Linked DNA regions of Pelodiscus sinensis. The protein of the gene in region 2 purifies or fractionates together with the protein of the main gene of each other region. This does not show direct contact. Links are inferred from orthologs where the notes say so. Each region holds a gene or a part of one and is shown on either strand. Other genes may lie near its edges.

Region 1 (7,846 bases), on a different chromosome or scaffold from region 2:
ATTTTCCATCCAGCTACAGAGCTGTCTGGAAAAAAATTCAAACACTTTGATGAAAATGGAAAAGAAAATGTTCACCAGTGTTTTTCTTTCTCCAAACAGTTTTGTTTCCTGCAATTGCTGAGCAATTTCAATAAGTCTGCTTGTAGATGTTGGAGGGATGAGACCAGGTATGCGTGTATGTGTGTGTGGGAAGAGTATCCCTCATCTGTTTAATACAAAGTTTCTTGCACCTTCCTCTGAAGCATCTGCTGCTGGAGACCATCGGAGACAAGATATCAGACTAGAACCACTGGTTTGTTCCAGCACAGCAGTTCCTATGTGCTTATGGTCTTCATTTTGGTATATGGGAAAGCAAGGAATCACACTGTTTACTACAAATACCCCAGAACAATTCAGATAAGCTTACTCATTCAGTGGCAATGAAACACTCTTATAAAACGGGACAAATAGAATATACAGACTTTATCTTACAAGAAAAAATATAATCACAACTTTTTAACTAAGAATGCAGGTGTGGGACTAGGTAAAGTGTTTCTATCAATGATACAGCTACATTGATAAAATGCCTAATTATGCCATGAAAATATCTTCAATTCAAACATTTCAAATATTTTACTTGTTGCAGTCAGTATGAAAGATTCCAGACTTAGAATGAAAATCTTGTAGTCCTGGTCATTCCCAATCAATGAAACATACAGCCTGGTAACATGCTTAGTGATGGGAAATGACAGACATAGAATGACATCACTCTTTATTTTTAACTAACTGGCTGCCTTTTGGTGAGTTTGTCTGCTGCTGGCAATACCACAGGAGTGTTAGTCACATCAGGCTTTAAAGAAACTGCACAGCAGTACTGTGCTGAGTCTGATTCCAGTAGCCAGAAATTTCTGGTGCCAAAAGGCACTTTCTTTTGTTTCAAATTAAGGTCAGTGCCTTCAGTCAATAGGCAGATGGATGATTTGTGACTTCTCTTAAAGGGATAGTAATGAATATTGTACCAACAATGATCTCTGAACACCAAGAAAAGACATTCATACGAACAAGAAATGACAGTTACATTACAAGATAAACATTTATGAGTTAGAAATCTTTGTGCTTCAAAGCATAACCAAGTCACCCACTAACTTCCTAGTGATCCTGAACTAGACAGATCGTTGGTCTGATTCAGTCTGGCAATTCCTATGTTCCTATTACTATGTATACTGTGTAGTGGTTTCTAAACTAGATCCCAACAGAATATGGCTTTAGGGCAATTTTATGTCTATATCATTACATAAGAGAGATGGAAGACCTGAGCTTTTGAATTGGGGGAATACAATGGTTACTTCTTCCAGGACCCCAGAAAGAGCTTAGTAACCCCAGATGCAAATCCTGTTTTATTTGCTACTTGTTCTCTCTGCCACCCCATTTATCTTATCTACCTATTATGTCTTGTCTTTCAGACTGTAAATTCATTGGGGAAAAGACTGGCATTTATTATGTGTAAATACATATATTGATAACACAATAGGGCCCAAGCTAGTAGCAATCTTTATGTACTACCACGAGTTATGGTTTTGATGTAGATACTCCCTTCCCAATTCCCTGGCATGTAGGTCAGTAGAACTGGATGGATGTGCTGAGAGCAAATGCTGCATTTTCTTTGCTCAATGAGGATCTGAGAGAGGTACTGTACCTTCACACTGTCCTTAGTCAGTCCTGTGACACAAGCTAGCCCACAGACTGCCATCCTGTAATAATTTGTTGTTCTGAAAAACTCCAACATAGGGCACATAACGTATCCATACAGCAGGGGTGGGGAAACCTAAGGCCTGGGGGCCAGATGCAGTCTCCAGATTGCCTAAATCCAGCTCCCAAGGCTCAGGACTCCTCCTACCCCCCACCCCCAGCATTGGGGAGCCCACACTGGTGCTCTAGCCCTCCTACTGTCCCTCCGCAGGGCTGGAACACACAAAATTTACAAGGCTGGGTTCCCCAAAGCTCTGGTGAGTGAAGGAAATGTGGAGACTATCTTTCTCCTTCTCAGTCAGGGGCTGTCTCAGTGAGTTTTGAGTTTTTGTTTTGTTTTACATCTCACTTGTGTGTGGCCCCCAACTTATTTTTCTATGGGTCAGTGGCTCCTGACCCAAAAAAGTTTTCCCACCCCTGCCATACAGCATTGCCTCCTAAAACTGTCATAATGTCATTGATGAGAACAATGATGTACCTGTATAGAAAAAATCACACACTTTCCAATCACAGAATAGCAGTGATGAGAAAGGTCATCAGAAATACTTAAATGGTACCTTTATCCTAATAAACTCACCAATTAAAAAACACAAAGAAGATGTTTAAAATTAATGTAGATGCTGATATAGAGGCAGCAAGCAGCTATACAGGAGCTGGTACATGTGGGAAGCTAGTTTGAAAGCCACCCCAACTAGAGGCAGCAGCATGGGGGAACTGGTGGCTCCGCAGAAGCTGGTACTTGTGAGGAACCAGCTTTTAAGGCAGCTCTCCCCAACACCAGCTCCTCCCTACCCCATGCTGCTGCCTCTGATACAGAGGTGGGGGTGGGAGGTGCATGTAATGGTGCAGGTTACAGGAGGCCCCCGACTTGCGACCATCCGAGTTCTGACCCCCCACACTTTCAACCATTTTTGTAAGTGTAGAAAGGGCCAGAAACCCCTGACTTATGTCCTCAGCCCGCATTTACAGTGGTGCACAGCACCTATTGTAAATGAGGGTTTGAGTTACAACACCCCCAACTTGCAATGCTTCTCGTGGAGCCAATCACGTTGCAAGTTGGGGGCCTCCTGTAATTGATGAGCCAAGGCACATCAGTTAACCATGTATACAAATACACATTAATATCCCTAATTCCTATGCTGTACCAAAGCTAATACTAAGATGAAAAGATGTGGGCATTCTGGTTATCAAAACTCTGGAAGGTGGAAAACCTACCCCAGTCTGACAACATGAGGATATTTCCAACTTTATCTCAAGAAAGTGACTCCAAGACTAAACACATGGTTTGATTCTCAATTAGATGAAAACCCACAGCTTCCATTAACTTCAATCTGAGATCTGGGTGTTGGGCATAGCTAAAAATCAAGGGGAAAAAAAAACAGGTCTCACATACCCTTATGAAAATCAGTGATTTTAGCCACATAAAAAGCCCTGTTGACTGACATAGGACCACTCATGTCATGTTCATAAGTGTTTGTAGGCCTAAAGAAAGAAAAATGTTCTTTCACATCAGCAGTAACAGACAGATCTATTATTGTTATTGCCAAGGCTCAACAAATCCACTTATCTACTCGCCCGTGGCGAGGATTTCAGCTGGTCGCCCTGTTCACCGGCGGTGCGCACATGCGCAATGTGGGTCTGGCGCATGTGCGGTGCGGGGTTGGCAAGTGGATTTTCGCCACAGTCGTCGAGCCCTGGTTTTTGCATAACATTCAAATGCATCTGAGTTTTCATATAACATAGAAATACATATATAATATATGTACACTGCATGCATTTTAATATCCCCATATGAAACAATAACGGAGTTCACAGTTACTGCTGTGGCAGGAGAACAACCTTCTTTTATTTTTACAAATTAATTTAAACCTTAGAGCAGCAGTTCTCAATCTTTTTGGGCTCCGGAGCCCTTTACATGCATAAAAATTTATGCGGCGCCCCAGCAGTCCACTGATTGTATGTGTTGTACCTATCGATGTTTCCAGTTTGTCAACCTCGTGGAGTCCCTGGAGATGTCTCGCGGAGCCCTGGGGCTCTGCGGAGCACAGTTCGAGAAACACTGCCTTAGAGACATCATACTCACAGTATATTTATAGGTAACCTGAAAAAGAAGTGCCTCTGCTGAGATCAGTCTGAACCAGAAGTGAAAAACTGGTGCATCCCAGTGTGGCAAACCCTTAAGAGAGTGGCTGGTTGAGGGCGGGGCTCTGGATGCTGTCGGACACTGTCCATGGGTAAGGTTCCAGACCTGCTGCTGGGCATGTTTGGCTAACCCCTCCTGTTCTGGCCCCCATCCTCCACAGCCAAAGCCCAAACCACTCCCTTGCTCCCTCATGGCTGTCAGCCCCAGCGTCAGACAGCTGGGTGTGGGGAAGGCAAGGACCCAGCCCTGTTAGCCCTAGCCAGCAGCCACGGTCCCTGGGCAGCGTGGCCACAGCACAGCTAGGCTACATCTACATTGTGGAGTTATTTCAGGATACCAGAAGCTATTAGCTATTCTGCATCTTTAAAGCAGTCTGTTATTTCTAAATAGATTTCAAAACAACAGGCACGCTATTCCGGCATCCCTGTAACCCTCCTTCCACGAGGGGTAGGGGACATTTTGGAATAGTGCTTCGTTTTGAAATTCTCTCAAAATAAGTTACTGCAATTTGCACAGTGCAAATGGTGGTCGCTCATTTCAAGGTAAGGGCACTGTGGAGGCTCACCCTAGGCAGCCCAGTGCCACAGCCCCGGTTCCAGCAGCATAGTCCCCACTGCCCTACAGCCTCGAGTACCCCCCCCCTAATCCCTGCCCTGACTCCTGCACCTCCCACATTTCTGCCTTGAGCCCCCCACACTTCCCACCCCTCCCCCGACTCCTGCACACACCCCGCGCCGCGCCGCAGCCTCACCTATCGCCCCGGCCCCACGTACATTCCCTGTGCTGCCCGCAGCGACAGCCCCGCCCGCATTTAAGTCACTTTCGCCCTGGGACGGCCCCATACGCCGCGGCGGGCGGGCGGGCGGGCGCGAGCGAGCAGTAGGCGGCGCTGGGCTCAGAGTATCGTTACCCCGGCCACGCCTTGCCGTGAGCAGCAGCAGCCGCCGCACGAGTTACAGATGGGGAAACTGAGGCAGAGCGGAGCAGTGCCCCGCCGAGCAGCCTGAGCGCTCAGCCCCGCCCCCGCGCCTGCCAGGGGTCCTCCAGGCCGCTAGGTGGGGCGCTGGCGGGCGGGTCGGTGGCGCATGCGCGGGCCGGCGCTGCGCGGAGGCGATGGGCGCCAGGGTGACCCGCGCGTTCCGCAACTTCAACTTGGAGAACCGGGCCAGCCGCGAGATCAGCAAGAACAAGCCCACGCCGGCCCCCCGGCACCGCGCCGCGCCGCGCGCACTGCCCGGTGAGCGCCCGCGCCGCGGGGGGAGGGGCGGCAGGGGGCTGGGGCACGCGCCGCGGGGGGAGGGGCTGCTAAAGGTGGATTTCGGGGCGCTGGGGCACGTGCGGGGTAGTGGGCAGGGCTGGGGGCTGTGGCGGGTTACGGGGCGGGGAGGGGACAGTTGACGGAGGGGCTGGTTGTCTCCCCCAGCGGAGCCCTGCAGGCTGCGAGGAGCCCAGGAGCTGGGAGCGGCCGCGGGCTGCTGCGGACAGTGACCCCTAATCCTGCCCGCTGCTACCTTCAGCCTTGTTGTTTGGCTGGACGCTGCTGATCCAGGGCATAGGCTGGCGGGTGGGGTCCTCGCGTCTCAGCCTGGTTTACTTGTGGGTTGTGTGACTTTGTGAGGAAGCCAGTCTGTCCCCCAGCTCCTGCGGAGCCGACTGCCCCATGCATGGAACAGGTTGGGACTTGAACCCACCAGCCTTCCCTCCCCAGGCGAGGAGGGTTACATGGTTATTTAAGCACATTTTAACATCTCTAACCGAGCATGTGCTCTAATCAGTAAGCAATGGAACAATGTTAACCAGGATAACGTTAAGGGAAGAGTCACTAAAGTTATCCACCTCTCCACAAGGTGGTAGATAGATAGGTCATTAGGATAATTCCCAGCTGTGTCTACACTGGATGTTAGTTAGGTTGACCTAATTATATCTTGCAGGGTATGAAATTTGTCTCTGTCTCTTTGAGAGGCAGCAGCATGGGAGGATAGGGGGTGGCAGGTGGCTCTGTGGTAGGGATGTTAAATTTAATTGGCTAATTGAATAGTTGATGCAATTTGCATTGACTATTCAGCGAATCAATAAGGGTGCCTCTGCCTTTGAAGTGTAGCAACAGTCTCCAGGGCTGTTGCTACATTTCAAAGGTGAAAGTGCTGCAGAGCGCATGGGATCTGTGGGGGACTCAAGCAGTCCCCCCGCCCTGGCCCCGTGCTCCCTGCAGCATTTCAAAGCAGCAGTGCTGCATGGAGCCTGAGGTCAGTTTGGGAATTCCCAGCTGACCCCAGGCTCCACACAGTGCTGACACTTCAAAATGCCATTTGCAACCCTGGGCTCCACGCAGCGTTGCAAAGTAGCAGACTCTGGACTTTATGTGGTGCTGCCATTTTGAAATGGCACGTGCAACCTGGGCCAGCTGGGGACTCCCCAGCTGGCCGTGGACTGCATGCAGAATTTCAAGACGGCAGCACCGCATGGAGCCCAGGGTCTTGCCATGGGCTCCACATGGCGCTGCAGCTTTGAAACACCCCTTCCTCTCCCTGCCCCCCTTGCTACCTCTAGACCTGGCCTATTCTAGACCTGGCCTAATTGCTTAAAATTGCTACTCTTTTCCTCTTGAATAGGCATAATAAATTCTCTTTTCCTTGTGTATGAGGGATTAAGTATTGTGAATATTAGAAATAACATGGAAATCTGATTTCCCTGAAAGTATTTACACTGTCTTCACATGCATTAATTTTCACTTGAGTTGTGTGATGTCTTATGGGTATAAGCCAACAAGAATATGTGTGCAAGTAAATGATTTTCTGCTTTAAATCTTTTTTCTTAGACTATTCAGACCTCCAAGAGGAAATCCGCAGAAAAGATGACAAACTTCTTACCTTACTGAAAGAGGTTTATGTTGATTCCAGAGATCCACCTGTACAAGTGAGCATGTCTTCCTTCTGCTATGATTATAGCAGCAAGCATTTTTCAGATGACAAAATTAATAACGTACCAATGCTTATGTGATGAATAGGCTTAGCAGCTTACTCCACCGTTGAACCTCTGTGGTCCTCAACTCTCTGATCCTGCAATGTCTGTGGTCCAATGTTGCAGGGCCAGTGAGCCCCAGCCACAGAGTTTGCCCATGGCTGGCCACCTGTAGAGCCAGTAGCCTTGGGGCAGGGAGCCCATCCAGCAGGCCAGTGGCAGGCTGGGGGCAGGGAGTCCTGCCTCCGCAGATAGAGTAAGATCAGCCTGGAGAAAAACCTCTTCAGCCGGGGCAGGGAGTCCTGCTGTGATTTGGAGTGAGACCAGCCTGGAGAAAATCCCCAGTGGCTGGGGGCAAGCAGCCCTGTCTACTATGGCTGGACTGCCTTGGTCCCAAGAGTGTCAGACCAGGAGGTCCAGCCTGTAGCTGTTAATAGATTAAATTGAGATTTTTTTATTGATGTTTTATAATTTCAGGGTTACCTTATTTATTTAAGAGTGTCATCAGCCTCTGTTTATGGTTTCAGCTTTCCTTCCTTTCTATGAAGTTGTCTATACAGGCATCTTCATCTATCACAGAGACTCTTATCTGAGTGCACCTTCCTTGTGCCACAGCCTCTAAAATATGTTCACAGATTTGGGTTTCCAGAAGTTTAATCAGCCAGTCTGTGGAAGGGAAATAGGAAATTAGACGGGAAATAGAATTCCTGTTGATTCTATATGTGGTAGAGGAAATTGGAGCTTGTGTGGAGAGCAAAGAAGCTAGTACCAGAAATAAAGAAATTATTAAAATATCACTTAAAATGTTGGTGTCCTTTTAAGTGAAGTTGTGTATCTGTTTGGGTGAGGAAATGGTAAGATGTTTTATTTATATTGTTTTTGTATGAAACGGATGATCTAACAGCAGTTGTCTATGTGGTATGCATGTAAAATAAGGATGTTAAGAGGCGGGTAATTGGCAAATAGTGTAGTCGATACAATTTGTATCAAGTAGACGATTAGTTGATAAGGGAA
Region 2 (7,467 bases):
GACTTGGTGCTTTCTCCTTACAATGTGCAAACTTCTTATTCAGAAGTGAGATGTAAAAAACCCTAATACAGTCACTGTTACCAGAGAAAATGGGCTACACCAGATGTAGATTTCTTAAAGTTGGAGGGAAGGCTTCTATCACAATGTGATCTTCATTTCCTCTTCTGAAATAAATCATAACCACACATGCACTTTTTATCACTGTTGCCATATTTATAGGACTTCTAAACAATGCTACAATAACTAAAATTCTCGTGTTCTTGAATTACAATCTGAGGAGATGTAACCTCAACAATTCTGATGCCTTATTTTGATGCCTTATTTATATATATCACGCTCTTTCCCCTGTTCATTTTTCCTCTCTCCTTGTCTAATCACATCTTGCAGTAAGATTTTTTTTAAAGTACAAACTAGTACTAATGTCCAGTCTAACTGCACTTTAACCAAGAGTGGATTGTCCTAAAGTAGTGTGTAATGTTGGAGTTTCTTATTTTAATGTGCCTAAGACAATTTAGCCTTGAAAATAATTAAAAACAAAATGGAAACATGATTACATTCAAGAAATCAAAGGCTAGATCGGTTTTTTACTACTATTTTTTTTGGGGGGGGGAAGGGTTATGAGTATGTTAAGGCTGAATTCTGTTCCCGGACCCACATTTGGCTGTTACAGACTTCAGTGAGTGCTGCACATATGTATCCAAAGGGTTAATTGTGTCAGTAGATTTCATTGTGATAACACATTTTTCACTCATGTAGAAAGCACATAGACCACTTCTGTACAATACAGATAAATCTGAAGACCACACTTTAACTTCCATGCTAAGATAGTATATTACATTTAACAGTATACATTCAGTATTCATTTTCTTTTGTGTAGCGTATTTACCTTTCTGTGCTATTCTGTGTGACTTCAGTTTCTTAAATACTAATAAACTGGTACCTGATGAGAGATGAACTCTACAACACTTATTAAAATTAAATTCATGTGTGTCAAATACAGCTGATTGTGCTCAGTAAACAAATTTCTAGGAGCATGTTGTATTGTCCGAAGGTTCCAGCTATGAGTATATCCAATACCATTAAATGTATTTGATACAGTATTTGAGATTAAATATTTTGTTGATATTGTAAGATAAATTGGGTGAATGTCAGAAAGTAGTGACCTCTACTGCAATTTTTAATAAAGCAGAATAACCAAAAATCCTGAATTTTAATGAGCTTATTCATTATAGGTGGGTACAGTTGCAAGCTATCTTGTATTAATAAGTGCACCTTTTGTGAGAATTGAAATATAGCCCTTCCACTATTCTTTCAGAAAAATGATTTCTTTTGAAGTTCCTGAGGACAGGACAAGAATCAATGGGTTTAAATTGCAGCAAGGGAGGTTTAGGTTGGACATTAGGAAAAACTCCCTTAGGGTATGTCTACACTACCCCCCCTAGTCCGAACTAGGGGGGGTAATGTAGTCATACGGAGTTGCAAATGAAGCCCGGGATTTGAATTTCCCGGGCTTCATTTGCATAAAGCCGGACGGCTTAGGCTTCCTAATCCGAACTAGCTAGTCCATGCCGCGTGTAGCCGTGCGGCACGGGGTCCGAACTAGCCGGCATTTAAAAATGGCGCCGTCCGGCTTTATGCAAATGAAGTCCAGGAATTTAACTACTAAAGCGTATATCAACAGAAGACCATTATATTGACTCCTTTTTTTGTTTTGGCTTCACAATTTTAACAAATCAAACAAAAACTGCCACTACAGCACTGGAGTTTACTGAGGTATAAGTACAATCAATGTGAAGATTGTATCTGCAAACTTTTCACCAGCTATTTCAGATCAGGCTCAGATCAGGCTTGTATTCTGTTGTAGCAGCCGGGAGACAGTTAGTCACATGCCCACAAGGCTAAGGAGCCAGCACCTCTGCCCTGGGAGCTAGAAACACTGACACCCTGTACCCGCCTGTTCTGGCCAGCCCATCTGCTTGTGTCTTTCAATGCTTGACACGTTGTGGAGGCCATGTTCAAAGGATCCCATCCCTGGGCCGCCTGTTGAGCCCCACGCAGGGCCGGATGGAGGCAGGGGCGAGCTGGGCAGCTGCCCAGAGCGCCAACCCACAGGGGGCGCCTGATGGCAGCTGTAAGGGGTGCACGGCGTCCCTTACAGCTGCCATCAGGAGCTGCGCGCCTGGCTCCTGCAGTGCCCTTGCCCCCCCGGCTGTGGGGCCCTGCATGACCTGGCACTTGCACCAGCAGCCCAGGCCGGGCTGGGCAGCGTATGCGCTGTGCGTCCCGGGGGTGGGCCCCGGGCTGCATGCCAGCGACCGTGATCGGCCTGCGCATGTGCCGAGCATCCCAGGGGCGCCCGGGCTTTGCGCCAGTGGCTGTGGCTGGCGCGTGTGTGTGCCCTGCACCCCAGAGGCATGCCCATGCACACTGGAGGGGTGGGCCTGCGTATGCACCCTGCGCCCGGGGGCGGTGCCGCATGCCTGGATCGGCTGGCAATGCTCCTAATGCAACTTAATATGCCATTAGCCTTCTTGGCTACAAGGGCACACAGTTGACTCATCCAGCTTCTCATCCACTGTAATCCCCAGGTCCTTTTCTGCAGAACTACTACTTAGCCAGTTGGGCCCCAGCCTGTAACAGTGCACTTGTCCTTGTTGAACCTCAAACCCAAACCACATGGCGGCCGCAAACAAACAGGCTGCAGGCCATGTGTTGAGTAGCCCTAGACTCTAGGGGAAGGTGCCTGTGGCTTTTGGACAGCTCCTGGAGCCCCTGCACCCATCCTCATTCTCTTGGGCTTCTGGCCCTAACCCTAAAGTTCCAAGTGTTCCCAACAACCTAAAGATATTTTATTTCATCTGATGTGTTTTTGCAGAGAGGGGGGATTAACTGCTACAAGTTTTAAGAAAAAGGAGGTGGGTGGTTTTTTTAATCCTTCCCCCCAAAAATCCAACCTCTGGCATGTGTGGCCCTGAGCCAATTTCTGATCTGCAGAAGCCGAACTCAAAGGGGAAATTGCAACAGCCTCTTAGCTTGTGGGGATCAGCAGGTGAAACATTACCTGGGAGCAAACAGCCCCCCAAAACCGCCTGGCCACTCAGCCGGGAACTGGATGAAGTGCATCCGCCCAGCGATATGGAAACTCTAGTAAAACTAATCTCCTAGAAGTAAGGAAAACATCTGCCGAAACCCGGGATCGAACCAGGGACCTTTAGATCTTCAGTCTAACGCTCTCCCAACTGAGCTATTTCGGCTGCTTGTTCTGTGTGCTTGTTCTGCCTTGCCCTGAAATTGAAGATTGATTCTCGTTGGCTTCAGATCATGGGGTTTTGGCTAGAGGGCTCTGGTGTCCGTGCAGCTCATTGCCCGTGTACACAAGGCGGCACGTCCTCCCTGTTACCCCCAGCCATCAGCCTAGCTGTACCAAACACAGGAAGACACTGGCCAGGCCCCCAAGGACCTTAGCCCGGGGAAGCCATGCAGGGCAGGGATGCCTCTGTCCCCGCAGAAAAACGTCAGTGGAATTGACGTGATTACAGATTAATTGAACTGGAGCAACTGCTGTCCTGAAACACGTCAGTGACACCGGCCTCCAGGGTGGGTGGAGAGCGGGTGAGCCTGTCTGCTTGGCTTCGGCAGACCCCTCGGTATTAGCTGCATGGCCCTGCAAGATGCAAGCTCTCTGAGTCGGGGGGGGGGGGCAGCCGAGGTGTCACCTTCAACACCCCCCTCCCCCCCAGCCCTGGAATCAGGCGTGTTGCCTTGTTCTCCAAAATCCCTGAATTCCCAGTCTCTCTCTCTCTCTCTCTCTCTCCCCCCCCTCCCCCCCTTGAAGTTCTTAAGGTGTTGCAGAAATCTCCCGAACAGCTGGGTCTCTGTGGCGCAATCGGTTAGCGCGTTCGGCTGTTAACCGAAAGGTTGGTGGTTCGAGCCCACCCAGGGACGCGGCCGGGATCTTTTTTTGGCTGGGGGAGGCGAGGGAAGAGGGGGGCTGGGGCTGGGGAAGAGGGGGGCTGGGGCTGGGGCGGGGGAAGAGGGGGGCTGGGGCGGGGGAAGAGGGGGGCGGGGGCGGGGCTGGGGCTGGGGAAGAGGGGGGCTGGGGCGGGGCTGGGGAAGAGGGGGGCTGGGGCGATGCAGAGGGAACGGCCGAGGTTGCAAGTGGGGAGCTGGGATTCGGGCAAAGGAAAGAAAAGCCGCTCCCAGGCGGGGGGGGGGGGGGGGGGGCAGGCAGGAGCTGCCCCTGCTCCACGTGGAGCAGGAAAAGGGGCAAATCCCCCCCCCCCCGCAGCCCCGCCCTAGCGCCTTTGCTTTGCACCGCCAGCCCCGCCGGGAAAGCCCCGGGCCCCTTCGTTGCAGGGGCCTGCCCCACCGCCAGTCCGCGCACCCGGCACCCCCACATTTATCCTCCCCCACCCGCCAGGTCCCCTGGGCCCGGCGGAACCCGAGGGGCGGCCCGTGTTTCCCGGCGGGCGGGGACCGGAAGTGGCTGCACCGGGCCCGGGCGGACGGTTTAGGCGGCGCGCGGCCCGGGCGGGCAGAGGTTGGCTGAAGGGGATGGCGGCGCTGGCTGGTGCGTGGGGGCTGCGGCGGGACAGCGCCCCCTGGGGCATGGGGAGCCCGGGCCCGGCTTCTTGCCTGGGAATGGGGGGCGGGGCCAGGCTTCTTGCCTGGGGGGGCCTGGGAATGGGGGGGCGGGGCCAGGCTTCTTGCCTGGGGGGGGCCTGGGAATGGGGGGGCGGGGCCAGGCTTCTTGCCTGGGGGGGGCCTGGGAATGGGGGGGCGGGGCCAGGCTTCTTGCCTGGGGGGGGCCTGGGAATGGGGGGGCGGGGCCAGGCTTCTTGCCTGGGGGGCCTGGGAATGGGGAGCCCGGGCCCGGCTTCTTGCCTGGGAATGGGGGGGCGGGGCCAGGCTTCTTGCCTGGGGGGGCCTGGGAATGGGGGGGCGGGGCCAGGCTTCTTGCCTGGGGGGGGCCTGGGAATGGGGGGCGGGGCCAGGCTTCTTGCCTGGGGGGGGCCTGGGAATGGAGGGGGCGGGGCCAGGCTTCTTGCCTGGGGGGGGCCTGGGAATGGAGGGGGCGGGGCCAGGCTTCTTGCCTGGGGGGGGCCTGGGAATGGAGGGGGCGGGGCCAGGCTTCTTGCCTGGGGGGGGCCTGGGAATGGAGGGGGCGGGGCCAGGCTTCTTGCCTGGGGGGGGCCTGGGAATGGGGGGGTGGGGCCAGGCTTCTTGCCTGGGGGGGGCCTGGGAATGGGGGGGCGGGGCCAGGCTTCTTGCCTGGGGGGGGCTGGGAATATGGGAGGGCGGGGCCAGGCTTCTTGCCTGGGGGGCCTGGGAATGGGGTGCGGGGCCAGGCTTCCTGCCTCGGGGTGGGGCTGGGAATGGGGTACCGGGCAGGGCCAGGCTCTGAAGAAGGGGGGGTGCTCCCTTTTCTCATGGGGGGGAGGGTCCCCCTGTCCAGTGGGCTCGGCCCAACTCTGTGGTGGAAAGATCCCTCCCCTGGCCCCCCAGCTGAGGGGTCTGGGTGGCGGGTCTCCCCGGTGGGGTGTCTGTGTTTGCAGCGGGGAGGACACGGGGAGGGACGGTACCATCTAATCGTCCTTCCATGAGGGCAGGGGACTGGACTTGATCTCCCGAGGTCTCTTCTGGTTCTAATATTCTATGTCTGGGTGACGCGCATTGCAGGACCCGCTTATAAAGAGCCTTGGAACTAGCTCGCCCCTCCCTCCAGCCTGCCTGTGGATTTTGGCAGCGTGACCCACTGGGATCTCGTGGGCACCAGTGCCAGGGACCGCTCGGTGGGGCTTGTCTGACAAACTCACACAGGTGGCAAGTCCTGGGCTGTGGATCAACAGGCTGCAGGGTGCTGCGCAAACCCAGAAAGGCTCTGAACTAGATTGGAGGGAGGGGTGAATGCCAAGCCGGGCTGGGGTTTTCCTACCCCCTCGCTGCACCCATGGGCTTGTAGCTACTTGCATGAGATTATAAACCTCTCATTAGTATACCACTGCAAAGCAAGAGTGTAATGATTCCAGCACAGCCATGCCAAAACTCATATTTTCTCAATAAATTAAACCCTTCCCTTGGTTACTACTCGGTTAAAACAGCAGGGCCCTCAAACATTTATTTATTTGCCATTTCTGCTTTTGCCCTTTAAGGGTTATGGCTTTGCTGCTTGAAATAGGCTCTTGGATTTGTCCCCCACCCCTCAAAAAAACCCAGGCTGTCATCTTTTATCTACTGAGGCCGTGTTTAAAAGTTTTGTGGCCTCCTCCCAGTCTAGCCCTAGAAAAAGGGGGAGTGTTGTGTTACCCTGACACCTATTTGTGACCCCCTAACCCAACTCCCCATTGTAAAACCCAGGCTGAAAAGCCCTGCTTTTGGCCCCGTGTTTGGTTTTGGTGGCAAATGCTTTGAAGAATGGCCACACTTAAATGACTGCTTTAATTTATTTTCATGCTAATAGGGTTATCTTTGTTAAAGTTATTTCTAAACGATCTCCTGCTCTGAGCTTATATTTGGGGGCTAAAGTGCCAGCTTTAAACGGCTCCAAAATATAGGAGATTAGGCACATCAGGGTCGACTAGGAGAATAGTTTGTATCTGTTTTTTTTATTTGTACTGCTGAAGTATCTAGGAGCGCAGTCATGAACCAGGCTGCACTGAACTAGGCCCTGCAGAAACACAGAACAAAAAGAGCTTCCCAGCCTAGAGAGCTGGCAGTCAAAGTCCAAAAGACAAGAAGACTGGGGAGCGCAGAGACCCGATATAACAGTGCTGGCCAGCACGATCAGTGGTAGTTTCCGCAGCCTGGCTCTTGTCAATTTTTTGTAGGGATATGGCAAAGGGGATTTTTCAGGAGGGATTTGAAAGAGCAGAATGAGGTCGCTTTGGTGACGTTTACAGGGAGCGCCTCCCATGAGGGAGGGCCAAATGGATAGGGATACACAGAGACAGAGGCACAATTCACAAAAACAAAATAACAAAACCCAGTTGCTCCACCGTCCCCAAATATTACGCTGCTGTCCCAATCCTGTCGGGGTACTAGGTTGCTGACTTCCACGCATGCTAGTGCTACCTGCTGGCTGTCAGCGTGTGAGGCAGTTTGACCGTGCCAAGGTGGGTAAGCGAGTAATTTTTATTGAACCAGCCTCTGTGGGTGAAAGAGAGAAGCTTTCGCGCTCCACAGAGATCTTCCTCTGGTCTGGGAAACCAGCTAACGAACTGAGTGGGTCACAAGGGAACAAACTGTATAGCATCAGTGGTTAACGCATTTCAAGGGACCGTATAAGTCACTAACCAGTGAATTGTAGGGCATACCGTCGTTTAATGACACTTTGTATTTGGACAGAGGCATGGTATGATTTGCTTCAAGTGCATTGCTCTTCACACACCATTCTGTGTGCGTTTGTTTATCGCTTTGTGTGGTTTCAGGGCTAATGTAGTGGATGAATATGACTTTGGGGAAAATACA

Evidence for each region.
Region 1: the proteins of NDUFS7 (region 2) and NDUFAF4 purify together in Homo sapiens (co-immunoprecipitation; 4 studies listed by BioGRID and IntAct, counting the BioPlex papers as one, with this or other methods). This does not show direct contact. The link is inferred for Pelodiscus sinensis from reciprocal best matches to the Homo sapiens genes NDUFS7 and NDUFAF4.

What each region holds. Positions count from the first base shown.
Region 1 is NC_134713.1:68,594,962-68,602,807, reverse strand, and holds the start of NDUFAF4 (NADH dehydrogenase [ubiquinone] 1 alpha subcomplex assembly factor 4), read left to right. Parts: upstream 1-4,843; 5' UTR 4,844-4,984; coding exon 4,985-5,108; intron 5,109-6,689; coding exon 6,690-6,787; intron 6,788-7,846. UniProt on the Homo sapiens protein: Involved in the assembly of mitochondrial NADH:ubiquinone oxidoreductase complex (complex I). May be involved in cell proliferation and survival of hormone-dependent tumor cells. May be a regulator of breast tumor cell invasion.
Region 2 is NC_134729.1:17,276,553-17,284,019, forward strand, and holds the start of NDUFS7 (NADH dehydrogenase [ubiquinone] iron-sulfur protein 7, mitochondrial), read left to right. Parts: upstream 1-4,451; 5' UTR 4,452-4,554; coding exon 4,555-4,570; intron 4,571-7,467. UniProt on the Homo sapiens protein: Core subunit of the mitochondrial membrane respiratory chain NADH dehydrogenase (Complex I) which catalyzes electron transfer from NADH through the respiratory chain, using ubiquinone as an electron acceptor. Essential for the catalytic activity of complex I.